Xenopus tropicalis: one gene and its partners. The protein of the gene in region 3 purifies or fractionates together with the protein of the main gene of each other region. This does not show direct contact. Links are inferred from orthologs where the notes say so. Each region holds a gene or a part of one and is shown on either strand. Other genes may lie near its edges. The genes, in order: adrb2, wwp1 and arrdc3.

Region 1 (10,697 bases), on a different chromosome or scaffold from region 3:
ACTATCTGAACTACCCAAATTATATATCACTTCAGGTAAGGAAGGGGTTGAATGACTTTCTAAGGAGGTGGGGTCCCTGTGATTCAGAGACTATGGTGGTTTCCTTTCAGTCTGAGGAATCATGTATGTCTGTGTAAAAAATATAAAACATTTATATTTATATGTGGAAGATTAGATAGTGTATATTCAATTTTTCTGCCCAAATGAACAAGCAGATGTCATAGAAGAGTATTTTTCCCAGTGGTTTTAAATTAAATTGTAAGCATAACTGCAACTGAAAGTGGTATCAGTCTGTGTGTTTATATTCACTTAATAGCCAGCTGATTAAAAGAGCTGGAGCAGACCTGGCTTCTGCCACATTGTTTCAGGAGTCAAAACCATTAATGCAGAGAATACAGTATAAACACACAGAAGTCAGAACCAGAGAACTGAACAGAATAAAGTCATTGCAGAAGTTTCATTAATGTATTTTGGAAAGTTGTTTTCATTATTTACAAAAGAAAACAGTTTTTGGGTGGAGATTCCCTTTAACTGCATTTTCTGTGAGATAATGACAAGTGGCTGGATTTGATAAGCCATTAAATACTTTTTGCCATTTTAGTACCAGTTCTATTAACTCTTAACTCCTTTCCTGCTTGCTTGGAAGTAGTTGGTAACCCAAAAAACGTATGTAAAACATACTTGCCAGGCTGTTAAACTTGCAGCTAAGTGTTAAACTGGCTGAGCTGAATCATTATCTCTCTGATAATACGGAGGGCATGGGTGTCTCAGTTTAGGCAAGGGATTTCCAAATACTGAAAAAGGCTCAGGCTAAGACCCTTCATCAGTAGGTTCTCTCTGGAGAAAAACAATGTTCTGAGAGTTGTCATTCACCAGTATGCGGGCTGCATGCTAGAAATATCAAGTCTAAGTATTTATCTACTACCTACTGCAAATGGCTTCATACCCCCCAGTGTCAGCAATCAAGAGGTAACACAGGTCTAAGTTCTGGCACCCAAGGGACCTCCTTTTTACGTTTTACACTGAATGTGCATGTTATTCCCCAGCTCTGTCATGCATTAATTTCATTATAAGCTTACGAATGCCCTGCCAGCAATCCTATAGCTCTATTTAAACTGCAACTTCCTACAACCCCCAAGAGATGAAAGGGACCATTGGTTCTAGTTCAACAACCACATAAGGGCTACAAGTAAAATCCCTGGAGTAACAAAATGAACACACTTCGGGCCATTTTCACCTATGCAACCTTTCTGCTGGCACACAGAAGTGTGCACCACAATAATCCACTAAATAAGAAAATTCAGGCAATTTTAACTGTGCATTGCACTGAAGGGGCTGACGCTCCCTGTGCTCCCGGCTTGAGTCAGTATGACTTGCACCTGTTCTGGTTCATGTCAGGCTTTGACAGCACAAGGATACTCCGATCCAACCACCAGGGAATGGGTTATTTTCTTTTACTACTTTCTTTAAACAGCCAGCCTAATATGCACTCATTAGACTACTCCATAACACTAAAAATAAATTGCACTATGCAGCAGCTTCCGTAGGAGCCCTGTGACCGCTATAGGAATCTGAGGCTGCTGAGAGTAAATCTTTTCCTAAGTCACTAGTATTTCCTACTCAGCGACCAAACCAACCTAGCGCTTAAGGAATGCCGTGCGTTCCCCTATTGATAACATGTCAAGTAGCATGCACTCTGACATATGGTAACCCTACTGCTGAACATATATTGATCTCCTTTGAGAATCACCTTAAATGCATAAAGGTCAACAGTATTTTGTGATCGCTGAACGGTAAACACACTAATGTTTTAGGCAATTCTTATCTGCAAATCTCTAAAAAACAAGAGAGGGGGTGGGGGAACACACAAACACAAGCCAGATTAATAAATAGCACAATGACCTTTAATAAGAGCAACATACAATACTGTAAGGCTTGGAAATGTGCAAAAGAGCTGATCTGCTAGTGACCCTGTGAGCTGCGCAGAGGAAATGTATGGAACAGACATGCCTTGTGCGATAGGGAGAACTCAGCCTGTCCAGCAGGGCGTATTAAAGTGATAGACCATAATAATTTGTAATGTCCTGTGTCTGTAGCCTATCAACTATTTTGTTTTTATATTCTTATTTATGAATGAGCCTCTGCTTTACTTCCTTCGTCTGTGGTTTCCTAGTTTATGCCTAAACATACCCCATTAAATCTATACTGAGTAGAATCATTGAAGAGACAAGAGGAAACAACCCGCAAGCTTGTCTTTAAGTGCTGCTGAACTACAACTCTCAGAATCCTACCACTGTCATGGGCAACTGCTGAGCACTGTAGTGCAGTCACATCTGGAAAGCCCCATATTTTGCTCATAACCCAGAGATAACTGATTAATTACCCTGACAGGACTTGGTTTCAGCCAGAGATCAGACACTACAGAACAGCAGTAGGAACATCTGTTCTGCCCCATCTAGGAGACAAGGACTCATTTATCTCGCAAATAGGGATCTAGGAGGCTGGGCTCACCGAAAAAACAGATTAGTTTGCCATCAAGAAGGGGATGGGTCCTCCACTCAACTTTGGACTTCACTGCTAAAATTAGATGAACTAAGTTAGACCTTTAACCCTTCTATCCTTAAAATACACTTTTGGTTAGAGGCTCCAGTATACGTGACAGTCACTGCAAATGTCAAATTGCTTATAAAAAGTGCCACTTTCCAACCTGCAACAGAGGGGTTAAAGGGGAATGCAAAGATTGGCACAAACCTAAAAGGGTGGCTGGAAATGTATTGAGTTAGCTCTGCGACTTTTTTTTTTTTTTTTACTGCATTTCCTCCCTGAGAAACCATGAAAAAAAAGAATTTATTTACAGGTGCAAAAGTACACAATGGTGGTAACTATAGCAACTATTCTGATATTATTTTACATGGTTTCACAGCAGCTTGCAAAACACGACCAACCAAAGCTGGTTGCTATAGGTTACTGCAATTGTGCCTTTTTGCACCTATGCTGAATGACCCCCAAGGGTCTCTCCTGGTTGCAACACACAGTTTTCATCAGTCTTATACAGAATATACGTTTTCCTATCTCTCACAACCCAACTTTTGCAATTTCAAAAGTTCAAAATATTAAGCTCAGCACATTAACCCCATCATTACTCAGGAGAGCTATCTCAAGGAAAGTAGAATTAACCCTGTCCCTTCCGCCAACAGCAGCTGTTTTTTGTATTATTAAGGGGTAGAAAAGGGGGGAAAAAGCAAGATTTTTTTTTTTTAAGTTTCAGAATTCTTGAACTTAGAATTCAATTTTTTTTTAAGGGTTTGAGGTAGATTTTTCTTCAGTAAAGTACACAGGGCAGCAACATAAAAATATAAAAGCCATTACATTATAACAAAAGATCTCTTACCTTAATTTAAGAGGAACTGAAAATAGACAGAAATGTACATTTTCTCATAATAAATTTATACATTCTGCAAGACATGGGCACTGCCCTTCTGCAAAATATACATATATAATATACATATAAAAACATTTTCCTTTGTATTATACATTCGGATATCTGGTTGACCCTTGTATTGCAATAATCCAGTTTGTTGTAATAGTTCAAATATTAAAAAAAAATCGACAATCCTATAATAAGCAATCATGCGTGTTATGATTCTTGCCCAGTGGTTCCAAGCTAAAATCTAGAAGAGTACCTTCACAGTTCAAAAGGGAGGGATTGGGAGTTTTCTCCTCTTTAAATAAAACTTCACAAGTCCTGTCTTTAGAATACTGACAAGGTTCTGTGTCTTCGTTGTATGCACTGTTCCCATTGCTCTGGGGGTACCCATTGGCATAGGCTTTGGAGCCCGGTTTCCTTAAGCACAGCAGCTCCTGAAAAGTGTATCTGAAATCTGGGCTCCTGCAGTAGATTAACGGGTTAAAGGCAGAGTTGACATATCCCACCCAGTTCAAGAAGTTGTAAACTTTGACAGGGATAAAGTCTTTGTGCATCACCTGGACAATGTTGACTATAAAAAAGGGGAGCCAACACAAAGTAAAAGTGCCCATTATTATCCCCAAAGTCTTCAGTGCCTTGTGCTCCTTCAACCAAAACTTTGAGGTCCTTTTATTTCCTTGCTTACCATTGGTGTCCTGTTGGTTATTCTGGTTGTGGAACCTTCCCTCGCTTTTGTCTATTTTCTTTAGTTGTTTTTTGGCCTCCTGGAAGACCCTTGCGTAGACAAAAATCATGACCACCAGAGGTAAGTAGAAGGAGATGATGGAAGAGGAGATGGCATAAGCAGGGTTGGTGAAGAAAAAACAACAGGAGGGGTCATCATAGCAATGCAAGGCACTCTCCTCCTCTATCCTATACCAGTGCATGTAGATGGGGAGGAAAGAGGTAAGTGTGGACACCACCCACACCAGCAGGATGACAATCCTGGCTTTGCACTTGGTCAGGAGGCTCTGATACCTGAATGGAGAGGTAATGGCGAAGTACCTATCCACTGCAATGACGCAAAGGGTCTCTATGCTGGCAGTGACGCAAAGGATATCCACTGATGTCCAGAACTCGCACCAGAAGTTATTGAAAACCCAAGTGTCCAGGATGATGGAACTCGCTCCGAAGGGCACCACTATCAGCCCCATCAGCAGGTCCGCACAGGCTAAAGACGTGATGAAGTAGTTGGTGACCGTCTGCAGCCTCTGGAACTTGGCTATGGCAGTGATCACCAACACGTTGCCGAGCACAATCACCAACACGATGCAAGACATGATTATGCCCATGCCCACCATCCACGCATCCCCGGGCTTATCGCTGGCGTTGCTAGTGTTGGAGACGTTGGAGACCAGCTGTTCGAGGGTGCTGTTAGGGTAGGGGCTGGCGGTGACCCGCTGTTCCATAGCTTTGCAGTCCCTTTGACTTTACTTCCACTTGTTAGGAGTCGGTTGGGTGTGACACGCAGCGCTGAAAGTACTCCTGCCCCGCGTATATCCAGCGCATTTAGCCATGGGGGAGGCGGAGTTGCCCGGTGTCGTTCATTTGTGCCCGTCCTGTTTGTGGGGCGTTAGACATGGAACTACCTCTCTCTCCTGAGAGTCTCTTCTGATTCTGGGCTGTGGGCTCGCCTGCTTTCTTTTATTAACACCCGCCCTTACGTCACAACGGGCTCCAGCCAATCCCCGGAGAGCAAGAGCGGGATACCGCGTAACACCGGCTGGTCGCTGCCTTTCTCTTTTCCTTTCGGAAGTTGCCTGCGCTAATAGTTAGCTGCGCTATACTGCGCTATACTGCACGGCGGATCAAACGGTGCCACTTACAGGCTTTAAGCAGGGTGGGCTCGAAGTTGCACGGCAGTGCATCTAATCAGTTGCTGATGTACAAGTACAGCCCCTGGTATCCCCCGAGAGTTCGAATTCTACAGCTACTGGGGCTGACTGGACATTACTGGACTCTTTCTGCGATTGGCAGATGTTTAGCTATGTCCAAAGTTTGATGTTTAGGTACAATTCCCACCATTGATTAGTTGGATAGCTTGTGTTACATATCCCCCTGCTTTAGGGTGAAGACACACAGAGCTACTAGTCGCAGCTTCTTTTTCACAGCTACTAAACGCCAGAAAATACCCTCCCATGGACAATACTGAGAATTGCCTCTGCTAAAACACAGGTACAGCCAATTATCAGTAAATGATCAGCATTGTCTACTTTAGTATATATACTAGTAGCTCTGTGTGTCTTCACCCTTAAGCGTCACATAACCAGCTACTACTTGTATTTTATTTATGATTTATTTCTTGTCATTCTTTTGCCCAGTGTATCTGATATCTGTGCAACACCTATTCTGCATTGCAGAGGCTATTGTGGCACTATGCGCTAATGGGTAAGGGCAGTGAACAGAATAGGAAACAACGTCAATCATTTAAACACTAAAAACAGTCAGAACTGTAATTTATGTACAGAGTTGCAGCTATGAAGGCATGCTGCAACCAGCTAACCCATTCCCAAGGGCAAAGCAATAATCAGAGCAGGGAGGGTGAAGACTATGGTGGCCCCATACTGCTAATTGTTGCACCTCTGCTTTCTTCTAATTGTTGCACTGCAGCCAAGAGCAGAGCCCATGGGCATATACTGTATGTATGGGAAGAAAAGAAGTCGGCAATAAACCTTCGGACTATGTATAGTAATTGTATCTACAGCTGTCATAAAAGATATGTTCAAATTCTTCTTCAGTGCAGAGTAAACTTGCAAAAAGTACAGAGAAAATAGAGCTGCTATATTGTATGTGAGTGTACTGAAATAACTTGCCACCTAGGTAATTATTAAGTGAGAGTTTTGCTTTTGGCACATATTAGTGGTACCAGGGGGGCAAGGGGCTACTTAGATCACCCCATTGCCGTAGTAGCTTTTGTGGTGATGTGGCCCAAAAAACTCACTCGGCAGGCCTTTCAGCTGTTGTTGAACTACAGGTCCCAGAACACTAAAGAATTCCCCCCCGTATTCAACGGTCATTGGGTGCTGGGAGTTTAATAGCAAAAAAAAGGCTCATCTTGCTTTACTCCCCCTACTATAAGCAGCACTTCCTGCCTCCAGTCCGGCTTGGTGGTGGACAAAAGATGGACCCTGGAAGTCACCCTTTTTTGAATCCCCCAAAGCTCTGCCGATAACAACCGATGAGAATCAGCCAGCAGGCAGCTGTAACTTATGTGTACAGTACAATGCTATGGGAATAGCAGGGGGAAAGTGAGTAACTCTTGTTGTAAGTACACATTTAATTAATTTATTGCAATGGCAGGGTTTTTTGGCTCCATTTCAGCCTCCTTACTGTAATGTCTCTGCGTCTTGTACCATGTTGTTTCTCTGTTGCTTTTTACCATTGTGCATAAGATATATACCATTTTAATGTATAAATAAAATATCATAGCCTTCTGTCTTGCATTATCATTTTATATAATGTGGTCTCTATGCCATTTAGTCCATGTGATCCTCTTTAACCAGTGGCAGAACTATTTAGGGGGCAGCAAGTTCAGCCCAGCTTTAATAAGTCAAGGAGGCATACCAAGCAGTGAGAACGGTGGAAGAGTATGTGTAAAAGGCGGAGAGGTGTAAAAGTTTGCATCTGGTTACATTACTGCTATTGACAAGATGGCATTTCTTCCTGCAATAGCCAGTGGCAATTCATATAAAGTGTTTTTTTTTTTATATTCCGAACCTGTAGTAATTAAAATACATGAAAGCCAACTCCCAGACTTATCCAGGGTCTCTGAGAAAAGGGTTAAGAAACCCCAAATTAGTGGATTTGTATGCCAATTAAGAATTTTATCCTGGGTTTGTAAATATACACATGGATCTTCAGTCTGTGAGATTAGGAGGCTTGTAGCCTATCTTTATTACAAATCCCAGAATCCTATAACATCCTGTGGGATTATCAATTCAGCCTTTGATGGAAAACAGCAGGATACAAGTACAGCTTTAGGTGTAACTAGTGAGGCGTTATAGTATTTTACAGCATCATTGCCAACTTTCTACTGGGCAAGTTGGGCAACTGAGTTAAAATAATAAATAAAAATTCCTATGCTTTTTAGGGGCTGGTAACTCCTTGACCTTTGTGACAAGTACAGTACTGTATATCATACCCATTCATAAGGAACTAACATATATCAAACCAGTAAAATGTCCATAGTGAAAGCATTAGATGGTCCTGAGCACAACATTTTAAATGAAGAGGTCAGGAATTAAAAATTACTGATTTCTAAAATAAACTACATTTCCCAACATTCCCTGCCAGTAGAGCAGCGGTTCTTAACCTGTGGGTCGGGACCCCTTTGGGGGTTGAACGACCCTTTCACAGGAGTCGCCTAAGACCATCGGAAAACACATATTTCCGATGGACTTAGGAACCAAGACACCGCTCCTCTATGGTTGGGGGTCTCCACAACATGAGGAACTGTATTAAAGGGTTGAGGCATTAGGAAGGTTGAGAACCACTGCAGTAGAGTGATACGATTGATCTTATAGCATTAGCTAGAAGAGGCTTTATAGCCATGGAGAAAGGTACCTGTGGGATCTACAGTATCTTTTACTTCTGCAATAACAAGGTTGGTAACTGGTGGGGAACGGGTTAAGAACCATACAATAAAACGGTAAGGCTTTCATATTAAAAATGTAGGGTGTACAATACATAGTGCTGAAGTGTGACAAAAAGGTTGCATATGATACTGTAATATTGAGTGTAAATAATACCGAAACATTATTGTACTGGGGAGTTATTTTTTACTTTACCCTTCCCACTTCCTCTTTTAAATACTTTATTCTGCAAACTTAATAGAGAGCAGGAAGTAAGAGAGAAATTTTAAATTGCTTCCTCAATCACAAAGTTAAAAAAAATAGCACAGGCAACGCAGCCAACCATAGGTTCTGGCAAACCCAATGCACAAATGCACAAATATGTTTTCCATTTTAAAAGATCTATAATTCCATTTAGAAAACTGGAAATAATGGGCAGCTTTTTGCTACCCCTGAGAAATAGCTGCCTTGGTCAAGGCCACTTTGCCTTGTGGCAGAAATGGCACTGGATAAATAATTAAAGGGGCACAGTTTCATTTTATTAGTTTTTATATTTGATCATCACATTCAGAAATGTTTTCACTGCTTGTGTTAAGTATTTATAAATATTGTTGAGAATAAGTGCCTACCAGAGTCAGATTGTGCCGCCGGGACACCAGGCAGGGGACCCTGCGGGTGATTAAGGGGGCACGGCGGGGCCCCTGTGGGGCCTCCTGACTGGGCAGTAAATTGCGCAGGTGGAGAAATTGCCCACCATGTGCCATTGCCTTGAAAGTTGATGCAATCTCCTCAGCCTATTTGTACATAAGATGATAAGAGGGTTAGAAGTGCAGGTATGCGATCCATTATCCAGAAAGTTCTGAATTACGGGAAGGCCATCTCCCATAGATTCCATTATACAGATATCTTTTCTCTCTGTAATAATAAAACAGATCCAAATTATGGAAAAATCCCTTATCCGGAAAACCCCAGGTCCCAAGCATTCTGGATAATGGGTCCCATACCTGTATATAGTTTTTTTTTTTTTTTTGATGCTTGCATTTGTGCAAAAAGTTTTTCCATGTCTTTTTTCATTTGTGCTTTTTAAGTTTGGATCTTTTAATAAATTACTAGGTATTTGTGGCTTTGGTGGAAATGAATTTAGTTGTGGTATAAAAAAACTCAAAAACCGCTATCCGAAACAGATTGGACAAATATCTGGGACAACGCAAAAAAAATGTCAACCTGTGTCAGACAAAAAGAACACATATACAAAATCCTGATGTTCTGGTATCACACCCCCGAAAAACTAAATAAGCTTTTTCCGGACCATTCTCCAAACTGCTGGAGAGGCTGCGGATCTCAGGGCTCCCTACAACACATTTTTTGGGAATGCCCCATAATCCAGCCCATCTGGACAGAAATAGCAAGCTTACTGGGCCGACTGTTTTCACGTGAGGTTCCCCTAGACCCTTCTACAATGTTACTGGGGAAACCATTCCCCAAAATGCGTAAGTGTGGCCAAGCATTAATCAACCAAATACTTACCGCAACCAGATTGGCCATCGCAGCCAAATGGAAATCACCAATTGCACCCTCCATGACTGAAATAATCAACCGAGTGAACTCCAACAGGAAATTTGAATACGGAATTGCCACTCTACACAACAACACCCCTCAACACCTCAAAATCTGGGACATTTGGGAACTAAATGGCCTGGCCACCTAGCCTCATCAAGCTTCACAAGGGACACCCGCCCACCCGCCTATATCCCCCCCAAGTAGCAGACCTACTGCCAATATAGATTACCCAATGACTAATAACCTAACAGCCATCCCAGGCTTATAACATGCATCCTTCAGTTATCTGTACCCTTAGCCTTAACTTTTTTCTTTCTACCCTCCCTTTTGAATTTATCTTATTGTTGGTTATCCTTTTGTAGAAAAAGCAGACACAGCAGTTAAGACTTATCACTGGTACAATAACTCCATTAGTTCATTGCTTCGTGATAACTAATATGCCTCTGTATCATATAACCTTGTATTTCTCTGTCCTTGCTTTTGTTATTGGAAAAAAAATAAATAAATAAAAATATAAGTTACAAAAAAAAAAAAACTCAAAAACCACGAAAATCTGAATGTTGATAATTCTACTTCCCAGTATTTAGTTTACCTATGTTTATTTAATCAATATAATAGAGGGCTATCCAGTGGTGATTTTGTGATAGGTAGATAGATAGAAAGATAGATAGATAGATAGATTAATAGATGATAGATATATTGATAGATAGATAGATAGATAGATAGATAGATAGATAAATGTGGATTAGAGGCCAACATTGTTAGCATCTAAGGAAGGTCTGTCACGTTTAATGATTTTATCCTGTTTTAGTGGTTTTTCTAACACCATAAGAGGATTAAAGGATAATCCTTTCAGTCTCAGGATTGCTGCAGATAAGACCCGAGTTTGTTTTATGGTCTACGGTGGGCGCTGTAGATTTCACATTCTGAATTTCCTTTACAGCATATGGAGTAAATTAATACTGTGCTGCACAGGGCAACAAATGGGCAGATGAACTCTATTAACTCCTGAAAAATGGATTAGGAGCTTATTTGCAAGCAATTTACTTACCTTGCTTCACTTCATTGTCTAGTATTACAGGCATAACTATACAGGCAGG
Region 2 (10,653 bases), on a different chromosome or scaffold from region 3:
AACAAATCCCAAAAAAGTTGGGACAAGGCCATTTTCACCACTGTGTGGCATCTCCCCTTCTTCTTACAACACTCAACAGACGTCTGGGGACCGAGGAGACCAGTTTCTCAAGTTTAGGAATAGGAATGCTCTCCCATTCTTGTCTAATACAGGCCTCTAACTGTTCAATCATCTTGGGCCTTCTTTGTCGCACCTTCCTCTTTATGATGCGCCAAATGTTCTCTATAGGTGAAAGACCTGGACTGCAGACTGGCCATTTCAGTACCCGGATCCTTCTCCTACGCAGCCATGATGTTGTGATTGATGCAGAATGTGGTCTGGCATTATCTTGTTGAAAAATGCAGGGTCTTCCCTGAAAGAGATGACGTCTGGATGGGAGCATATGTTGTTCTAGAACCTGAATATATTTTTGATGCATTGATGCTGCCTTTCCAGACATGCAAGCTGCCCATGCCACACGCACTCATGCAACCCCATACCATCAGAGATGCAGGCTTCTGAACTGAGCGTTGATAACAACTTGGGTTGTCCTTGTCCTCTTTGGTCCGCATGACATGGTGTCCCAGATTTCCAAAAAGAATCATGAATCGTGACTCGTCTGACCACAGAACAGTCTTCCATTTTGCCACACTCCATTTTAAATGATCCCTGGCCCAGTGAAAACGCCTGAGCTTGTGGATCTTGCTTAGAAATGGCTTCTTCTTTGCACTGTAGAGTTTCAGCTGGCAACGGAGGATGGCACGGTGGATTGTGTTCACTGACACAATTGTGTTCACTGTTCCTGTTTGTGGTGCAGTGTCGTTTAAGGGCCCGGAGATCACGGGCATCCAGTATGGTTTTACGGCTTTGACCCTTACGTACAGAGATTGTTCCAGATTCTCTGAATCTTCGGATGATGTTATGCACAGTTGATGATGATAGATGCAAAATCTTTGCAATTTTTCGCTGGGTAACACTTTTCTGATATTGCTCCACTATCTTTCTGCGCAACATTGTGGGAATTGGTGATCCTCTACCCATTTTGGCTTCTGAGAGACACTGCCACTCTGAGAAGCTCTTTTTATACCCAATCATGTTGCCAATTGACCTAATTAGTGTTATTTGGTCTTCCAGCTCTTCGTTATGCTCAAATTTACTTTTTCCAGCCTCTTATTGCTACTTGTCCCAACTTTTTTGGGATTTGTTGACACCATGAAATTCTGAATCAACATATTTTTCCCTTAAAATGGTACATTTTCTCAGTTTAAACTTTTGTTCCGTGATTTATGTTCTATTCTGAATAAAATATTAGAAGTTGGCACCTCCAAATCATTGCGTTCAGTTTTTATTCACAATTTGTTTAGTGCCCCAACTTTTTTGGAATCCGGGTTGTAATAAGCTGCTGTGTAGCCATGGGGGCAGCCATTCAAGCTGGAAAAAAGGAGAAAAGGCACAGGTTACATTGCAGATAACAAATATGTTCTGTAGAATACAATAGTGTTTATCTGTTATCTGCTATGTAACCTGTGCCTTTTCTCCTTTGAATGGCTGCCTCCATGGCTACATAGCAGCTTATTTATATAAATTATAGTAGACTTTCTGAAGTAAACACACAACTTTTACCAGTGCAGGGCAGCAGCATATTTTAGTTTATATATTTTAGTTACTTTTATACACTTTCATTTTTTGGTGTTACTGTTCCTTTAAGGTATGGTGATCCGAATCTGTTCAAAATATGTAAACATGAAATAAACCCAATAGGATTGTTTTGCCACCAAAACGGATTCACGCAGCTTAAATACCATTGAGTGCAGGGTGCTGTTTTATTATTACAGTGAAAAGGGTAATCAGCTCTTGCAAGTAGGGCCTCTGATCCTATTCTTATTCTGTAAACACTTGTTCATCAAATTATTGTAAGATCCCTGTTCATTATAAATTAATGTAAAGCACTGAGTAATTTGCTGGCGCTATATAAATAAATGATGATATATATATATATATACTGTATATATATATACATATATATATATATAATGTGGCATAGTAATAATAATAATATTGTGTAATAATAAAATCACACTCATTTGTGGGGTATATTTATTAACATTGGACAAGTCTGCACCTAGACAGTAACTCATAGCAACCAATCAGTGATTGGCTATGTTCAGCAAGTTGCAGGAAGAATAATGAAACCAAACTTTTCATTAGTCGCTATGAGTTACTGCACTAGTGCACAGCTGCCATTAGCAGGGCCGGAACTAGGGGTAGGCAGAAGAGGTACCTGCCTACAGGGCCGCCATCAGGTTGGGAAGAGGGGGTACAGTTGTGCCGGGCCCTATGAAATCTTCTTTTGTAAAGGGGCCTGGTTGTGGTGCGAAGATTACACAAAGTACTAAGTTACGCATAAGGTTACGCCAAAATTTATGCACTTTACGTAACTTCCGCAAATACTTAAGGTAATTCCACTGCCCCCCTATTAGCACATTCATTGTTAATTTTAACTATTTATATGAACTGCTTATTATAGAGTAACATCAGCTGTTTACATTGGGACCTATCTACTATTCTTCATGAATTTTGCAACAGGGGAATGACTGGTTATTGGACCCCAAAGCAATATCATTGGGCACCTAAGCTTACGCAGTTTACGTAATTTATGCAAAAACTTAAGTAACATATCAAGTGATGACAGCACAGAGCAGGGGCAGGTAGGTGGGAAGGGGTTAAACTTAGGGCAAACTCCACTGCCCCCCTATAAACTGAATGACTTCTTACGACATTAATCAATGGAACTCTTTATATAAACAGCTGTTTATATTGTGCACACAAGGGGCGTATCTAAAATGTTGGTACTGTGTGCTTGTGTTCATGGGGGGCCCCATATAAATAACTTTTGCTGGGTCCCAAAGTTTCTGATGGTGGCCCTGCCTGCCTAGGGTGTGAGGGGGCGCTAGGCAGGTACCTCTGCTGCCACCCCTAGTCCAGGATCGCTTTCCCCCACATTTGATTTCCCATGTGCTCCCTCCCTGCACTGCATCTGCGCGCCTTGCATGCCACGCTCCCCCCTCTGGGGCGTCCTGGTGTGTGCGCATTTTTGTGCATGCGCGGGGAGGGGGAAGTGGTGGGGCCAAGGTGGCTGGCTGGGTCGCCTAGGGTGCCTGGCCCACTTGGCCCGCCTCTGCCTATTAGTAAATGAACCACACATGAGGTGATTGTATTATTTATCCTGTTTCTTTGCTATTTTGTTCTGGGACACCAGAACAATATGTTGGCACAATGTTTAGGTGAAAACTACTACAGGTTGGTGCATTATTTTAAGAAGATGATAGCCAGCGTGGGGTAAGGAACATACTTTTCTAATCCCATCCTCTAAATGCAACACTCTCCACAGCCCCTTTAGCACACATGCCATATGAGGCAAAGGCTTAGCAACAAAATATGCCGGTTTGTTTCAAAAGCGTTGAATATGTTGCACTATAGCACAGTTGATTCCCTCACACAAAAATCTGGAGCTAATAAAAATGACACCCCCTCTTGTTGTGATGTGCAGGTTGACCTGAAACATGTGGGGTCTGTTTTTGCTTATAGCCCACAATCCCTTATCAATAGTACTGGTTGTTTATCATTAAAGTGATACTGACACCAGAAATTAAATCTTTTTTTACATCTATCATTCATTATCTTAAAAGTATTTGCCCAATACTTTTACATTACATTACCTACTATCTGATCCCCCATGTTCCTCTGTGAGGGGACTGCCAAGTAACAGTTACTTAGGGCCGTGGTAGACGGGGAGATTAGTTGCCCGTGACAAATCTCCCTTGTTGCGGGCGACTAATCTCTCTGATATGCCATCATACAGGCTTGAATGTAAATCGCCAGTGGTATGGCATATGCGGCGTTGCGATTTCCGAAAACTGCGGAAGTTGCCTTGAGAGGAAACTTGTGCGATTTCGGGAAATCGCGTCGCCGCATATGCCATACCACTGGCGATTTACATTCAAGCCGGTGGGATGGCATATCGGGGTGATTAGTCGCCCGCAACAAGGGAGATTTGTCACGCGGCGACTAATCTTCCCGTCTGTCACAGCCCTTAGCGCCAGTATCACTTTAAGGCTAATGGCACTTGGGGTAGTGCTGGAATGGCAAATATTCTGGCAAAACCCGTAGTGACTGCTGTGAATTGCATAGACCGGTGCTTTATTTGAGGTTGTTAGAGGACTGTCTCAGCCTCAGTTTATTTGTAATGCCAAGACTTATTTAGATCTTAGTACAGACAACATGGTGTGTTTTGACTACTACCTGTTAGGGTGAAGACACACAGAGCTACTTAGTAGCAGCTACTTGTCACAGCTACTAAACGCCAGAAAATCCCCTGCCACAGACAATACTGAGAATTGCCTCTGCTAAAACACATGTAGAGACAGTTATCAGTAAATGATCAGCATTGTCTATTTTTGCAGCTGTGACAAGTAGCTGCTACTAGTAGCTCCATGTGTCTTCACCCTAAGTGCCAGTGCCAAGTGGGGTGCTGGAGTCTTTACCCTTACTGCTTCTAATGGCAAGTGCATAGGGTTTGCAACTTTTAAAAATGATTTAACCTGCTGGGCTGGGGTGACAAGGGGGGTGGGGTGATGCTGTAAAGGCCCAGGGTGATAATATGAGCAGAAGAGAATTGGCATGTTGGGCAGAGGGCAGCTTCTGGTCTGAAAAGGGATGAACAATTAGGGTGGATCAGTGCAATGACACGCAATGGCACTGTTATACTGGTCCCAGCTTTAGCATGTGTTTTACCACTGGTAGAATAGCAACCCTGAAAGTGTCCCTGCTGATACACTTGGAGCAGTAAAAAGCCATAAACTAATGCTGCCTGAAACACAAAAAGTTGATTTAAACTTTAACAACAACTTTAACATGTCCCTCCTGGCCTAGTCTAAAGAGGAGCATCAAACTAAACTCATACAGATTAATGCGGGTTTAGCCAGAGAATTATATAGGTGACGTCACGCAAAGCTTGTCCCAATCCTGTCACGACATGGCCACGCCCCGTGTTATTGCTGGTAGGTGGGAGACACGTGACGTTTCCTGGGCGGGAGTTTGATGACGCGAGGGGGCGGAGTCCGGGGAAGCTCTGTGAGACGGCCGCAGTGGTGCCCGGAGCTGGCAGCGTGTGAATCGGACGGGAGCTCGGAAGGAGGAAGAGGCGGCCCGGGGAGGGGAGGGGAGGCCGAGGACGGGACATCCGCCCCGGTATGTTGGCAGCTGTGTCAGCTGGTTGGTGAAGTCGATAGGTTTCCCGCAGCAGTGTATGAGGGCATGTCGGTGCCACACACTGCTTGTTCTGCTCCTTGCCCCTAGGCTACTATTCCTTGTCTCCGCCTGGCATTAGCTACGGGCAATACCACTAGTGCTTTGCGCTGCTGTCGGTGATCCCATTCCCCGCTTTGCGTTTTTCTCTCAAGCCTTTCATTGTCGTGGTTTGTTGCGATCCGCTATTCTCCGGTCTCAGTACTCGCTCACATCTCTATGGCCTTAAGGGCCACCGGATATCTCGCTAGCTGTTTCCTTTCATCAGGGGCTTCTGGTTATTGTGTCACAGGTGGGCTAATGCTAGCCTGACTTCATTCATCATATGACTTGAACCCTGTACCCTCCTAGTGCCGCTGCCAAATCTGCCCATATCCATGTATAGTGTATAGCAGCAGCCTCCTTGCCAAGTGTATCCATGTATGTGCTACTTCTTTTGTGTCTTCCTTGTCTCCATGTGTAATGCTCACATTTAGCTTCACTCTCCTTGCCAAGTGTATCCATGTATTTCCCACCTCTGTTGTGTCTTCCTTGTCTCCATGTGTAATGCTCACATTTAGCTTCACTCTCCTTGCCAAGTGTATCCATGTATGTGCCACCTCTGTGGTGTCTTCCTTGTGTCTTTGTGCACTCTTCACATTTAGCTTCACCCTCCTTGCCAAGTGTATCCATGTATGTGCCACCTCTGTGGTGTCTTCCTTGTCTCCATGTGTAATGCCCACATTTAGCTTCACCCTCCTTGCCAAGTGTATCCATGTATGTGCCACCTCTGTGGTGTCTTCCTTGTCTCCATGTGTAATGCCCACATTTAGCTTCACCCTCCTTGCCAAGTGTATCCATGTATGTGCCACCTCTGTGGTGTCTTCCTTGTGTCTTTGTGCACTCTTCACATTTAGCTTCACCCTCCTTGCCAAGTGTATCCATGTATGTGCCACCTCTGTGGTGTCTTCCTTGTCTCCATGTGTAATGCCCACATTTAGCTTCACCCTCCTTGCCAAGTGTATCCATGTATGTGCCACCTCTGTGGTGTCTTCCTTTTGTCTTTGTGCACTCTTCACATTTAGCTTCACCCTCCTTGCCAAGTGTATCCATGTATGTGCCACCTCTGTGGTGTCTTCCTTGTCTCTATGTGTAATGCTCTCATTTAGCTTCACCCTCCTTGCCAAGTGTATCCATGTATGTGCCACCTCTGTGGTGTCTTCCTTGTCTCTATGTGTATTGCCCACATTTAGCTTCACTCTCCTTGCCAAGTGTATCCATGTATGTGCCACCTCTGGTGTCTTCCTTGTCTCTATGTGTAATGCCCACATTTAGCTTCACTCTCCTTGCCAAGTGTATCCATGTATGTGCCACCTCTGTGGTGTCTTCCTTGTCTCTATGTGTAATGCTCTCATTTAGCTTCACCCTCCTTGCCAAGTGTATCCATGTATGTGCCACCTCTGTGGTGTCTTCTTTGTGTCTTTGTGCACTCTTCACATTTAGCTGCAATCTCCTTGCCAAGTGTATCCATGTATGTGCCACCTCTGTGGTGTCTTTCTTGTCTCCATGTGTAATGCCCACATTTAGCTTCACCCTCCTTGCCAAGTGTATCCATGTATGTGCCACCTCTGTTTTGTCTTCCTTGTCTCCATGTGTAATGCTCACATTTAGCTTCACTCTCCTTGCCAAGTGTATCCATGTATTTCCCACCTCTGTGGTGTCTTTCTTGTCTCCATGTGTAATGCTCACATTTAGCTTCACCCTCCTTGCCATCTGTATCCATTTATGTGCCACCTCTGTGGTGTCTTCTCAGTGTCCATGTAATGTCCATATTGAGATTTTTCATGATTAAAACAATAGGCAAAAAAAGTATGTTCAGAAAACAACAATTAATAGAGGGTACTCCCTTATGCAAATATAGTAAAGGATGCAAAAGTAAAGACTCTTACCCAAATAGAGGCAAAAGTAAAGCAAACTACAAAAGGTCACTTTGCACTCCAAAACAAAGTATGTTCAGCACAAGCCCTGTGTATTGAGCTTGTGCTGTGCAAGGGGGGTATACTGCCACTCCACCTTTTTTGCCAACTCAGTGTTGTCTTGCGCCTGTGCACCTTTAGGGTGAAGACACACAGAGCTACTTAGTAGCAGCTACCCCTGCCATAGACAATACTGAGAATTGCCTCTGCTAAAACACATGTAGAGACAATTATCAGTAAATGATCAGCATTGTCCATTTTAGTAGCCATGACAAGTAGCTGCTACTACCGGTAGTAGGTCATTGTGTCTTCACCCTTAATTGCATTCTCTCTGCTTAGTCTACCCTTTTTTTGTCCAAGCACTCCCCGCCAGGTATGCCGTTGTCTTTTGTTTATCTTTTGTGAAATTTACTTTGGACCAAGTGCATCGTACTTTAGCTACCAGTGTTTCCCAACCATGTTGCTCCCCTAATCCCTTTGATATTGCTTCCAGTGGCCTCAAAGCAGGTGTTCATTTTTGAATTTCTTACTTGGAGGCACAAAGGCCATGTGTACTGCCACACAGAGCCAAATATGCCATTATTTGGCACCCCCTTGGAACTTTTTTCATGCTTGCGTTGCTGCCAACTCTTTTTATTTAAATGTTTTCTATAGGTAAAAAAGTTGGACACCTTTATTTCAAACTTTCCATAGGTGTTATTTCTATATCATTTCCATAAAGCTTGTCCAAGTTGTTCATTCTTGCCATACTACCCCCCCCCATTGTCAGATTATTGAATAAAATAAATAACGAAAAATATATAGTAGTACTTTGCCCTAGAAGTTGTATTAATGGTCACCAGCCTTCTCAGGGCCTTCAACAGGTTACTTAACCTAATATGACTTGTAAATGTGTGCCATGTCATGACAAATGTGTTTACTGATCATGTATCACTGTTATTTTGAAAGGAAGAAAGGTTATGTTGGTTGGTTGGTTCATTGTGGATAAAAATGTATTTAGTTTTGGCCATTTGTGCTGAAAATACTATTAAAAACCTTTGTCCCCAGTTGATTGAAACTTTAGTTTGGTAAATAAATGAACAGCCCATCCTCATACACTCCCACAAGGAGTCTTGGGAATACTGTCTGAAACTGGTCTTATTACTACATTCTAACAATGGCTAAACCCCTTTGTGGTAACTTATTCCAAACAGTCAGTGTATATGTCCTTATCAAGTAGGTTATATTGGATAACAAGGAGACAGTGGGCAAAGCATATGAAGAATACCAGAATTACTGAGTCCACCTAGAACAAAATATGCAAACTTACATATTTTTTTTCAGTATTTTTATGAGAGAGAGACATTGGAGACAGTGTCCCACAAGACAGAACAGAATTACATAGTGAATGACTGTTAAACATCTGTTACACTGTTTGTTGGAATGCCTGTGGCTGATCTGCCCTGTTCAATAAGCACTAGCCATCGCTTGTCAGTGCTCAAAAACAGCACAGATTTCGGGCTGAAAATGAACACTTAGGCTGATGCCACACGTGGCGTTTTTACGCTGCGTATTTTCTAATTCTCTCGGCGGCTGAAAAACGCCTGATATCATCATCCATAGAAATAGCTTGAAAAGACGCGCAGCAAACCACACAAAGCGGAAATACGCTAGAAAACGCCTAAGCACGGATTTTTCAAGCGTTGGCTGAAATACGCCAGTACTTGCAAAGCAAGCTATTCCTATGGATACGCAAAGGCAGCTGCCAGACCTAGCGGAAATACGCGGCGTTTTTTGCTATTTCGCACTATTAGCACCATGGCAACGGGATTTGCTTACGTCACCAGTTCTAGGCTGAAAAACGCCATGTGTGGCTTGTGCAGCGTTTTTAGACTGAGAAAAAACGCCGCGTAAAAACGCCACGTGTGGCATCAGCCTTAAGTATTTTTTGAGTTAAAATGAGAATTGTAGTGGATTGGTGATAACTCACTGACAGAGACAATGCCTTATGGGACGCTAACCTTAAGGTGGGCATACACAGGCAGATTTAAGATAGCGATTCAGCCCCTTTACACTGATTTGGCAACTTATGTAGTACCCATGTATTAGTCCCTCCAATTGCTATGGCCAGGCAGGCCAACCTTGCCAAATGAGAGAATCTTCATGTATATGGCCAGATTAGTGAAAGAGATAAGGCTTGGATGAGGCAATGTAAACAGAAGTACTGTACTGTACAAAAGTCTTGGTAAGAAAAAAAAAAACCATTACAGTTCCCTTAATTTCTGTAAAGCTTTTGCAAACAGTTTTAGGGGGATTTCAATTTTTTGTAGCTTGGAATATGGTATCACGCATTTAAAGCCACCCCTTATTTCCTGCTTCACCTGAAACGAATTGTGCAAATACTTTTAAACAATCAGTGGCATAATAACGCCACACTGGGCCTCCCCACAAAAAAATCTTTGGACAGGCCTGGCACACACCTATTGAATTATTTGCTTCTAATGGAGTCTAAGGGAGATGGTCTTTCTGTAATTCTGAACTTTCTGGATAGCGGGTTTTTGGATAATGGATCCCATACCTGTACTATAGAATGTCATTAAGGTCAAAACTTCACAGATATCATTGGTTATATAGTTGGGTAGAACTGTACATAGTGTTGTCTGGCAAATGGACCTCATAACCATCTTCTGCACCTTTCAATCACCCTAGGCCAGGGGTGGGCAAACTACGGCCCGCGGGCCACATCCGGCCCCTTTGCCTTTTTAATCCGGCCCGCCGACGACGCCAAGTCTCATCACGCGAGACTTGGTGTCATTGGCGTGCCAGAATTAAAGAGAGAAGGGGGCCCGCCCTGGCCCGGTCCGGCCCGGGGGTGAGTAAATGTGGCCCGTGAGCCAAAAAGTTTGCCCACCCCTGCCCTAGGCATATGTTCCCATACTGCATTTCCAAGTTGTTCCCCAGTACCATGGAGTGGTGCTTTTTCATTGGTCCTTATGGAGTAAACAGATGGCAGATAAAAATCCAGCATCTTTGAAAATTTCTGTGTACATATTTTGTTCTTTGCCACAATGCACACAATGCGAGTAGTTCTTCGGTGCTATGGAATGGCCTGCAGGCAGCAGTTCTACAGTTGTTGAGGGTTACTTGTTAACATATATGTTTGCTATAAACAGCTTGCTTCCAGTTCAGCTTGCAAGAACTTTCCCAAAAGCTAATTGTTTACAGTGTTGTAAGTATAGAAGGAGCAGGGGTCTGAAAGCAGTTTCTGACCGAAACCCACCTTGTGTGTGCAGTAAAAGGCATTTTTCTGAACAAACTCTGTGCCATAGGCCTTACTGATCAGTGGCTCATCTAGCCCCTGTAATAGCTCATTCAGGCATTGACCTCTCCAGGCAGCAGTGCGTATCTTGTATTCTTGCCATTAAGATTTTTT
Region 3 (10,513 bases):
ACTGTAAACAAAACTATTAGCTGCCTGAGCAGTTGAACAAAAGTACTTTTATCAGACGTGACTAGACTAGTGTATTACTTTGACACCTTTTCACTATTTAGCTGACAACCTCATGGGCAAACTATATATCTGACTCAGCCTGTGACAAAGCAAAAAAGGCCTAAAATAGATCATTGTAGCTTTTGAATTCACCTTTGATATTTTTCAGATCATTTAGTATCAAGACGGCAGGCTACTGAATGGGACAAGCCTCAGAACAGGGGTGTACCAGTTGCTAATTTTAGCACTGAACAGTCTAGAGACACTTCATCTCACCAGCCACCTCCCTGAAACCAAACAAACTGACCATAAATAGGTACATGGAAACTATGACAGCTTATGTGCTCAAGTGATATATGTGTATATATGAAGAAATAAGAAAAAAACAATTGTACGTACAACACATAAGTATATGCTTTGTACTAAAAAGTAACATACATTTCAAAGTTTATACCTCTAATTTATCTCTAGCAACCCATACCAACCAACAGGGCTAAAATCCGGTGGCCCCAGGTAGAAAATGATGATTTGAGAGCCACAAGCAGTTGGTGCTTGCATGTAAGAGGGCAGGGCTTGCTGGCATGTGGGCAGAGTTTTAGCAAAGTTGGGCAGTAGCTATGGTCTAACCTTGCATGCAAGGAGCTTTTTTTTTTTTTTTTTTTTATTGGGGCCCCATTTTACTTGGCAAGGCACATCACCCAAGAGTGGTGATTGGCATATGCTACCTGCTAATTAGTTTATGGTTTACTAACTCCGTGGCAGCTTTGGAACTTTTATTACATTAATCTGTTACAGTAACAGACTAAGTGGAAAATTAGAGTACCCTCTGAACCATAATGATAAGAATTATTTGTTAAGGTTGGCTTTGATGTGAACCACTGCCTGAAAATATGATAAGGTGTAGGCACAGCTGTAGAATGGCTAGTGCTCTACCACCCATATATAATCAAAAGTGTAAGCATATTATACAGGTATGAGATCTAGTACCCAGAAGGTTTGGGGCCCGTGGTTTTCCATAAAAGCGTTTTTTTTCTATCATTTGGTTCATTGTACCTTAAATCTATTTAAAACATTTAAACATGATTGTTTTGCCACTAGCATTGAGTTATGCAGCTCAGTTATCATCAAGTACAAAGAAAATGTTGTATTAAAAAGGAAATCATTTCAAAATAATAGATAGTTACTAAGCTGCATGATTTTAGTAGACTTGTATGGAGAGCTAAATTATGGTAAGACCCCTTATCCAGAAAACCCCAGGTCCAGAGCATTCTGGATAACAGTGCTTGTACTTCAAATCCCTATACATTATACATTATAAAAAACACATTTAGAATTTTCTACCATAGGGACCACAGATTTTATAAAATATTGCAAACTTGAAATAGTTGACACCTAAAGCTCAAGTACAAGTTCAGATTTTAGTCTTCCAATGAATGTTTGGATATTGGTTGTATGTTTAAATGGCACAATCCAAATGCAATTCCACTGTAGTTCCCCCAAGGATATCTTCATTTACACAATACATGCTCAGATTTTATTGTTATCCGACTGAATTTTTCTAACCTGGCCAATCAACTAAGCAACTGATTGTCATAATACAAACATTTTTGGGACGATAATTCTGGGCCCACACACGGTCCAACAATAGTACAAACTGGGTTTTGTATGATTTTATCGGTGTGTGTATGGCCAACTTAAAACTGTCTGATAACCTTCTTACCTTTACTGTATTTACAAGCGTCCTAGAAGCTAATATAACAGGGTGGCATATTTGTAGTAAAATGAAGGCGTTACATGCATTTATATTATTATCTATATGTCCTGTTATAAGGAATAGTGAATGCGATAATGACCGTGTTTTCTTTTTAAATGTATAGTAGCTTGTATGGTTAGGGTTGCCGTCTGTCCGGTATTTTTAGCATCGGTAAAAAAGGTACTATGGGGAACGGTTGGGAGAGGACTGCACCAAGGAATTGATGTAGTGCCCAAATGATGGGGAACAGTGATACAGAGCACAGTCCTCTGCTACTCATTAACTGCAAACCCTAAGCCGGTTGGCACATACAAGCTTATTGTAAGTATTGTTCTGCCTAGGGGAGGCAGAACAATACTTACAATAAGCTTGCATTATAGTGCTATAAACAATATGCACAATATATATACAATATCTATGTACAGTGGATATAAAAAGTCTACACACCCCTGATAAAATGTCAGGTTCCTGTGCCGTACAAAAATGAGACAAAGATAAATCATTTCAGAACTTTTTCCACCTTTAATGTGACCTATAAAATGTACCACTCAATTGAAAAACAAACTGAAATCTTTTAGGGGGAGGGAAGAAAACCAAAACAACTAAAATAATGTGGTTCCATAAGTGTGCACACCCTCTTCTAACTGGAGATGTAGCTGTGTTCAGAATTAAGGAATCACATTACAAAATCATGTTAAATAGGAGTCAGCATACACCTGCCATCATTTAAAGTGCCTCTGATTAACCCCAAATAAAGTTCAGCTGCTCTAGTTGATCTTTCCTGACATTTTTTTAGTCGCATCCCACAGCAAAAGCCATGGTCCACAGAGAGCTTCCAAAGCATCAGAGGGATCTCATTGTTAAATGATATCAGTCAGGAGAAGGTACAGAAGAATTTCCAAGGCATTAGATATACCATGGAACACAGTGAAGACAGTCATCATCAAAGGGAGAAATATGGCACAACAGTGAATTACCAAGAACTGGACGTCCCTCCAAAATTGATGAAAAGACGAGAAGAAAACTGGTCAGGGAGGCTACCAAGAGGCCTACAGCAACATTAAAGGAGCTGCAAGAATATTTGGCAAGTACTGGCTGTGTGGTACATGTGACAACAATCTCCCGTATTTCTTTTCTTACGAAGAAAAACATCCAAGTCAGGCTACATTTTGCAAAAACACATCTGAAGTCTCCCAAAAGCATGTGGGAAAAGGTGTTATGGTCTGATGAAACCAAGGTTGAACTTTTTGGCCATAATTCCAAAAAATATGTTTGGGACAAAAACAATACTGCACATCACCAAAAGAACACCATACCCACAGTGAAGCATGGTGGTGGCAGCATCATGGGGCTGTTTTTCTTCAGCTGGAACTGGGGCCTTAGTTAAGATAGAGGGAATTATGAACAGTTCCAAATACCAGTCAATATTGGCACAAAACCCTCAGGCTTCTGCTAGAAAGCTGAACATGAGGAGGAACTTCATCTTTCAGCATGACAACGACCCAAAGCATACATCCAAATCAACAAAGGAATGGCTTCACCGGAAGATTAAAGTTTTGGAATGGCCCAGCCAGAGCCCAGACCTGAATCCGATTGAAAATCTGTGGGTTGATCTGAAGAGGGCTGTGCACAGGAGATGCCCTTGCAATCTGACAGATTTGGAGTGTTTCTGCAAAGAAGAGTGGGCAAATCTTGCAAGTCAAAACGTGCCATGCTGATAGACTCATACCCAAAAAGACTGAGTGCTGCAATAAAATCAAAAGGTGCTTTAACAAAGTATTAGTTTATGGGTGTGCACACTTATGCAACCACATTATTTTAGTTTTTTTGGTTTTCTTCCCTCCCCCTAAAAGATTTGTTTGTTTTTCAATTGAGTGGTACAGTTTATAGGGCACATTAAAGGTGGAAAAATTTCTAAAATGATTTATCTTTGTCTCATTGTTGTACAGCACAGGAACCTGACATTTTACCAGGGGTGTGTAGACTTTTTATATCCACTGTATATACACATTATACATTGTGCTGGAACTTGAAGCACAAATATTCGTGTGGTAGCAGTGAAGGGAGGAAGGGTAAACGTCAGTGAACAATAAGTTTCAGTTATACACATATTTATTATGATGATGGGGCAAAGACGGAATTAGAGGCAACGTTGACCTCGGAATATTCACTTCCTTATATTTTCCAATGGAGGGGGAAACGATTCCCTATATAAGCCCTGGGAAGGGGCACAGGATCAGAATGCTTCAGAAGTGACTGCAGCACCGCACCGACTGCATCACTCCAACACTTTTTGATGTTTCCCAAAGGCCTCACAAATCACCCGTTTACCTTTCGGATGTAGCTGCCTACGTTGGATGCATAAACAAAGGAATAGGAACTAAAAGGACACGTCCTGACCTACGAAGTTGTCTCTTGAATAAGAGAACCCTATATTAGAGGGCTAGCGGAGAGTGAGTGAGTGAGGGAAGAGTGGCAGAGGGGCGCGCATGCGCAGAGAGCTTGTTTTTCCCAAAGCCGCACATAAGTGAGCCGGCACACTGCAGACAGGCGTCTTTGTAAAGAGACCATAGAAGAGAGCACTGTGACAGCAGCTGCTGCTGTTACTTCTCCTACCTGTTCTTCCCGATGAGCTGGCCGCTGGGCGAGCACTGAGCCTGCCTGCAGTCTCTGCACGGCAAATGCATACTCCAGTGCTCTGGCAACATCGCCATTGATGTGAAATCGGAAACTTTTGTCTCCCCCCCAGAATATTTTTATAGCCCCCTTTTACAATCATGGTGCTGGGGAAGGTGAAGAGTTTGACCATAAGCTTTGACTGCCTCAATGGCAGCCACGTCCCCGTCTATTCCAGCGGGGATGCAGTCTCAGGAAGGGTCAATCTGGAAGTGACGGGGGAAATTCGGGTGAAATCCCTGAGGATCCATGCCAGGGGGCATGCAAAAGTCAGATGGACGGAATCAAGGAACGCTGGCTCCAACACTGCCTATACCCAGAATTATACTGAAGAAGTGGAGTATTTCAGTCATAAAGACATCCTGATTGGGCATGAGAGAGGTAAGGATGCTGGGGCTTTTATGGGGTGCTGGGGGTACCTGATATTGGGGTGTATTGGTTATCAGTCAGGCAGCCATTTATTTGTGTGAAGTTGTAGCCTTTATATTTAGCTGAGGGGCTTGGGAGTTGTAGTTCTACAGCATCAGCATAGTGCTTTGTTATTGAACTTATGGAACGGTCATTGCCCATTTGTTTGCATTGTGTGGCTGTATATACAGCTGCTGTGGGCTCCCATGGCTGTGCCCAGCTCGCCAGCCTAACTGGAAGGTGTGTGCCGCAGAGCCCGGGCAGCCTGTTGGGGAGCCCAGTGAATATGGGGGTGATTGGGCATGGGGGGGGGGGCATGGGGAGAGTTGAAGAGTCATTGCGAGCAGGGTGGGGGAAGTGAAGGAATCATCTTGTTTTTCTGAAGTTTACACCACCCTTTGTTAGAAGCGGTTCAATCCTGTTTTCGGCTAGTGGTGTCAGTGGAGAGAGAAGTGAGTGGGAGGGGGGAGCTGCGCTGCTTGCACGGGATTGGCTGATGGGGAGTCAGGTGGTGAGCAGGCTGAATCGCTTCCAAAGGAAAGAAGCACTGAATAACAGCAGTGTACCCCTCAATCCCTGCTGGGCGATATGTGGGTACCCACCCCACTCATGCATGGCGCATCCTTTGCACCTTCATTCAGTACAAATGTCTATATTTTCCATCGTTATTGCACCTCATAACGTTAGTATCACGCTAAGGAGCTGGCATTGCTGTTCCATGAATGGCTTGCAACTCTATATGGCTGCCCGGTGATACCATTCCAAGGCAGCGTTACTTGCCAGTGCTGCATTGCAATGAGTAGTGCTAGAGTAGTGCTGAGGGCAGTGTTTGGGCAAGAAGTGAGCGGCTCTCTGTACAATATGTGGTGCTAGCCTCCATGACTTAGTGGTATAGAGGTGCTGTCACTGAGCAAGTGAACGTTGCCGGACTCCATGCAATACACAGGGTTGGGCTCTCAATTCCAGGTCAGTAAGGGCTCGTAGGAAAATAAAGTATGTGCTGTGTATTAGTGGAACAGTGTAAGGAGCCAGAGTACTGGCAGGCTCTACTGCACAATGCTACTAGGCGCTAAGTAAGCCGGTCTCAGAGCTCAGTAATGCACCAACAGGTGTCCAGCCTCACACAGTGACTAGCAAAGCGCCCAAGGCATTGTTTCATTGTAGTGTGCTGCGAGCTGTGCCATTCTACCTCAGCAACTTACAGGTTAACAGTTACAGTTAGGTGCAGCGCCACACTAGCTTGCTTGGTGAGGGAGGAGGAAGGAAATCAGTGCCGCGCCCAACTCGCATTCGATTGGCCCAGAGCAGTTTGTTAGGCTGTTGTCAAGACAACGGCCGCTGAATGCGATTGGCTGGCCTTGTTGCTTAGGGCGCCAGGGAACAGGTGGAGTGAGATGGGCGTGCCCGTGACGTTTTAGCCTTCCCTGACGCTGCTAGTCCGCTGGCGCTAGAGCAGGGGGCGGTGATAGAGTATCAAGCTCATGGCTTTATTAGCGCAGCTGCCTTTATTGTGTTGCAGGGACTGTGTGTGGAATAGGCGTGCGTGTGATTGAGCCTTATCCTTATGCTCTATACTTACAGGGTGACTTATAGTTCATTAGCAGCCCACTGGTCTCCAGAGAGATACTTTCATCACATAATGCTTTATACTATGCTAGGGAGCAGTGCTTACAGCTGTGTAAGCCATTTATTATACCGGTCCTAAGCATTGCTAGTGCTGGCTACACACGTAGTATCGCTCTGGGCATTGCTAGTGCTGGCTACACACGTAGTACCGCTCTGGGCATTGGTAGTGCTGGCTACACACGTAGTACCGCTCTGGGCATTGCTAGTGCTGGCTACACACGTAGTACCGCTCTGGGCATTGGTAGTGCTGGCTACACACGTAGTACCGCTCTGGGCATTGCTAGTGCTGGCTACACACGTAGTACCGCTCTGGGCATTGCTAGTGCTGGCTACACACGTAGTACCGCTCTCAGCAAGAATCCAGCGTGGTCTCCTGTACACCCGGAAGCTGGGGGCGGGGGGAGGAGGTGGGCGGAGACATGGGTTAGGCTGCGCTCTCTGCGGCTGAGCTACGTAATAGCTATGCATATGAGGGACTGGCTGAGGTTCTGCTCGCACCGGTTCAGGCCGGTCCTCTCCTGCTGGAGTCTGCTTGTGATTGACAGTTCCACACTTGTTTACCACACTGTGCGGCTGCCTCTCTCTCGCCTGCTCACTTTGCAGCACATTGCTGAGCTGGCACAAAGGAAGAAAGTAAGGCAAGGGGAAAAGTGCTGCTCCATTAAGAAGAGAAACATATCAAATTATATTCAGTCAAGCAAACCGACTTAAATTACCAAATCACGTTGTGCTACCTATAGACTTGCTATAATATACCTCAGATTTACTATAATGTACATTTATTTATTTGTTTTAGCAGCTGCTCCCCTTTGTATTTCGGTCAGCTTTCCCTAGGTATTCATTCAAACAAGTATTAACCTTAATTCTTGTTTTATCATCAACTACAACCCACAATCCCCTATATAGTCAAAAGCCGCAACTGTAGGTGGTGCTCTACAGCTCAGCCTTCACTCAATTACAAATATATATATATAATTGTAAATTTGCTAAACTGGATCCTGCCCAGGATGCCAACCAACAGAATGTGACTCAGCGCTCACACACCCATGAGCAGATACAGTATCTCCCAGGTGTGTGCCAAGGAGTGGGGAAGGTCAAGTTGTTTACTTCAAATAAGCAGGCCCCTCCCTGAGATCTCACCTTCCCCGTGCGGTCACGGAATTTAGGATTTTATTGTTTCCCAGAGGGACTGGTTTTATTGGTTTGCTTAGGAGCACTTGTTCTGCCAACGAGGTGACTTATTGTTTCCCCTGGCTATAAGCTGTCTCTGTCAGTCACCTTCTGTTTCACACATATTCATTGCTATATTGTTCTGGTATGTATACTGGGATATGTAGGCCACAAAAGGAAGCAGTTTCGTTTACCTTCTTCATTAAGGGTGAAGACACATGAAGCTACTAGTAGCGGCTATTTGTCACGGCCACTAAATGCCAGAAAATATCCTGCCATAGACCTAACTGAGAATTGCCTCTGGTATAACACGTATAGAGACAATTATCAGTAAATGATAAATATTGTCTGTTTTAGTAGCCATGACAAGTAGCTGCTACTAGTAGCTCCATGTGTCTTCACCCTTAAACAGGCCATAGATACTGTACTTTAATAGTGGTATACTGATTAATGTGTTGTTACATGTATGTATATTTCTCTTCTAGATGACGATAATTCAGAAGAAGGACTAACCACTATTCATTCAGGAAGGCATGAATATGCATTTAGCTTTGAGCTTCCACAAATGTAAGTTATACACAGCTTTGTCAACTCCTCCCCAATTAAAACAAGCCCCTGATTCAGTGTAAATCATAAATGAAAGAATTTTTTGAAGAATCAAAGGGGTAGTTCACCTTTATATTAACTTTTGAGTATGACAATTCAATTATTATTTTTTTTAATGTATAGGCTTTTGTCTAGCAGTTTTCCAGTGTGCTGGGGTCTAGTTAACCCTAGCAACCAGGTAGTTGTTTGGAAGATTATAGAAGAGAGTCTGAATAGAATGAAAAGGAACAAAAGCAATACAGCTGTAGCCTTAAGGGCCGTAGTTTATTTTTCTTCAGATGAAAGCAAATAATTAAAAAATGAAGATCGGCTGAAAAGTTGCTAAGAAGAGGCCACTCCATAACATACTTAACATCAATTTAAAGGTGAACTGCCCCTTTAATTGCAGTGCTAGTGGCACTTGGGGTGTTTTGTAGGTGTTTAAGGATTTGAAAAGCAGAGGGAATCTTGGGAAAGAAATCCAGCTTTGCTCTAAAAAAAAAAAAATTTGCGTAGAATAAGCTATTGTCTATGTATTGGGTTTTAAAATATAATACCTGCTGATTATCATCCCAACCAGTTTCACCTGTATTGGGGCTCATCGGTGTAGTGTAGGATTTCTGATTGGTATAGGTAGAGCCAGGGAAGTGGATACATGTAAAACTGATTAATCACAGGAATGTAGTTTCTCCATTTTTTTTTTGAGTTTAGTTGGCTAAACACTAAACTGTAAGAGGTTACATTTGTTTGGCAATATCTTGATTTTGCTTTCCTCTCCTGCACAGACCACTTGCTACCTCATTTGAAGGCAGACATGGCAGTGTGCGCTACTGGGTGAAAGCGGAATTGCACAGACCCTGGCTTCTACCAGTAAAATTAAAGAAGGAATTCACAGTCTTTGAACACATAGATATCAACACTCCTTCATTACTGGTAAGAATGTCTTTAGGACTCTTTTTCAAAGGCTAGCTTAAGATATTGCTAGAATATGTATAGAAAACTTACAGAAATAGGTTTTGGCCAGCATTGAAAGGCATAAAGTCCTGAATGTTTGCCTTGTTAAAGACATTCTAGGTAGACCACAACTAAGCATCCCCATGTCACTGTAAATAGGATACAATATCATATTCTTTGTAGAGTTCAATATGGCCTCCCTTACTTATAAATGAATGCTGGAATGGAAAGTAGGAATGCACTGAAGCTTTTCTACCAATTAAATACATTGCAAATGGAAAATACACTTTTAACTCAAGACATATTGCCTTTGTAATTGTGTTTGTGCCATTTGTAATTTACCAGTTTTGTTTTCTTTTATTTTAGGCTCCCCAAGCGGGCACAAAAGAAAAGACCCTGTGTTGCTGGTTATGTACCTCAGGTCCAATATCCTTAAGTGCCAAAATAGAAAGAAAGGGCTACACACCAGGTAGGTTTAAAATAAGAATGTTTAAAAAAAAAAAAAAAAAAGATTTATGGTAATGTTTTTGTTGCTGTCTTATTACTACTATCATTATGTACTAGGGGTTGTTAACATCCCTTATTTTGCTAAATGTAGCGATGTAGGGATTTCTTAACCCCACCCATACTCACTTGTAGTTGCGCGTTTTCTGTACCTCATGGCTGTCCACTTTTCTCATTCCTTTCAAGGTGAGTCAATTCAGATCTTCGCAGAGATTGAGAATTGTTCTTCTCGCATGGTGGTACCAAAGGCAGCCCTTTATCAAACTCAGACATTTTATGCCAAAGGAAAAATGAAGGAAGTAAAGCAACTTGTTGCCAACTTGAGAGGAGAGTCCTTGTCGTCAGGGAAAACAGAGACTTGGAATGGCAAGCTGCTGAAAATTCCACCCATTTCCCCTTCTATCATTGACTGTAGCATAATCCGTGTGGAATATTCTCTTATGGTACGTTCAGTTACTTAAAAAGAAAAATTAGGTTAAATGTAAGGTGTTTAATATCATGAATTTTATACATTTGCCTTGTGTTGCTCGCCTACTCGATTCATAGACAGCAAACAACATGGGCCCATAGCCACTCGAAGGATCCACAAGGGTCAAAAATAAAATAATTCCACAACATATTTCACCGCACTGAAAAACAGAAAGGTATATATATTGCACATACAGATTACATACATACACTGACCAATACAGGAGCTAAAGAGTTTTGGGTTTTATACAGAAGTGAACTCTGCATTGTAATAGCAAATATTTACTATAGAAGGCTAGTCCATTATCGACATTCTAGGAAATTGAACTC

The links.
Region 1: the proteins of arrdc3 (region 3) and adrb2 purify together in Homo sapiens (affinity purification with western blotting; 6 studies listed by BioGRID and IntAct, with this or other methods). This does not show direct contact. The link is inferred for Xenopus tropicalis from reciprocal best matches to the Homo sapiens genes ARRDC3 and ADRB2.
Region 2: the proteins of arrdc3 (region 3) and wwp1 purify together in Homo sapiens (affinity purification with mass spectrometry; 4 studies listed by BioGRID and IntAct, counting the BioPlex papers as one, with this or other methods). This does not show direct contact. The link is inferred for Xenopus tropicalis from reciprocal best matches to the Homo sapiens genes ARRDC3 and WWP1.

The regions. Positions count from the first base shown.
Region 1 is NC_030679.2:41,025,221-41,035,917, forward strand, and holds adrb2 (beta-2 adrenergic receptor), read right to left. Parts: upstream 5,086-10,697; 5' UTR 4,876-5,085; coding exon 3,616-4,875; 3' UTR 1,885-3,615; downstream 1-1,884. UniProt on the Homo sapiens protein: Beta-adrenergic receptors mediate the catecholamine-induced activation of adenylate cyclase through the action of G proteins. The beta-2-adrenergic receptor binds epinephrine with an approximately 30-fold greater affinity than it does norepinephrine.
Region 2 is NC_030682.2:125,458,966-125,469,618, forward strand, and holds the start of wwp1 (NEDD4-like E3 ubiquitin-protein ligase WWP1), read left to right. Parts: upstream 1-5,149; 5' UTR 5,150-5,229; intron 5,230-10,653. UniProt on the Homo sapiens protein: E3 ubiquitin-protein ligase which accepts ubiquitin from an E2 ubiquitin-conjugating enzyme in the form of a thioester and then directly transfers the ubiquitin to targeted substrates.
Region 3 is NC_030677.2:178,683,283-178,693,795, forward strand, and holds the start of arrdc3 (arrestin domain-containing protein 3), read left to right. Parts: upstream 1-4,380; 5' UTR 4,381-4,569; coding exon 4,570-4,849; intron 4,850-6,464; exon of another isoform or gene 6,465-7,135; intron 7,136-7,585; exon of another isoform or gene 7,586-7,817; intron 7,818-8,157; coding exon 8,158-8,239; intron 8,240-9,042; coding exon 9,043-9,190; intron 9,191-9,577; coding exon 9,578-9,680; intron 9,681-9,901; coding exon 9,902-10,158; intron 10,159-10,513. UniProt on the Homo sapiens protein: Adapter protein that plays a role in regulating cell-surface expression of adrenergic receptors and probably also other G protein-coupled receptors.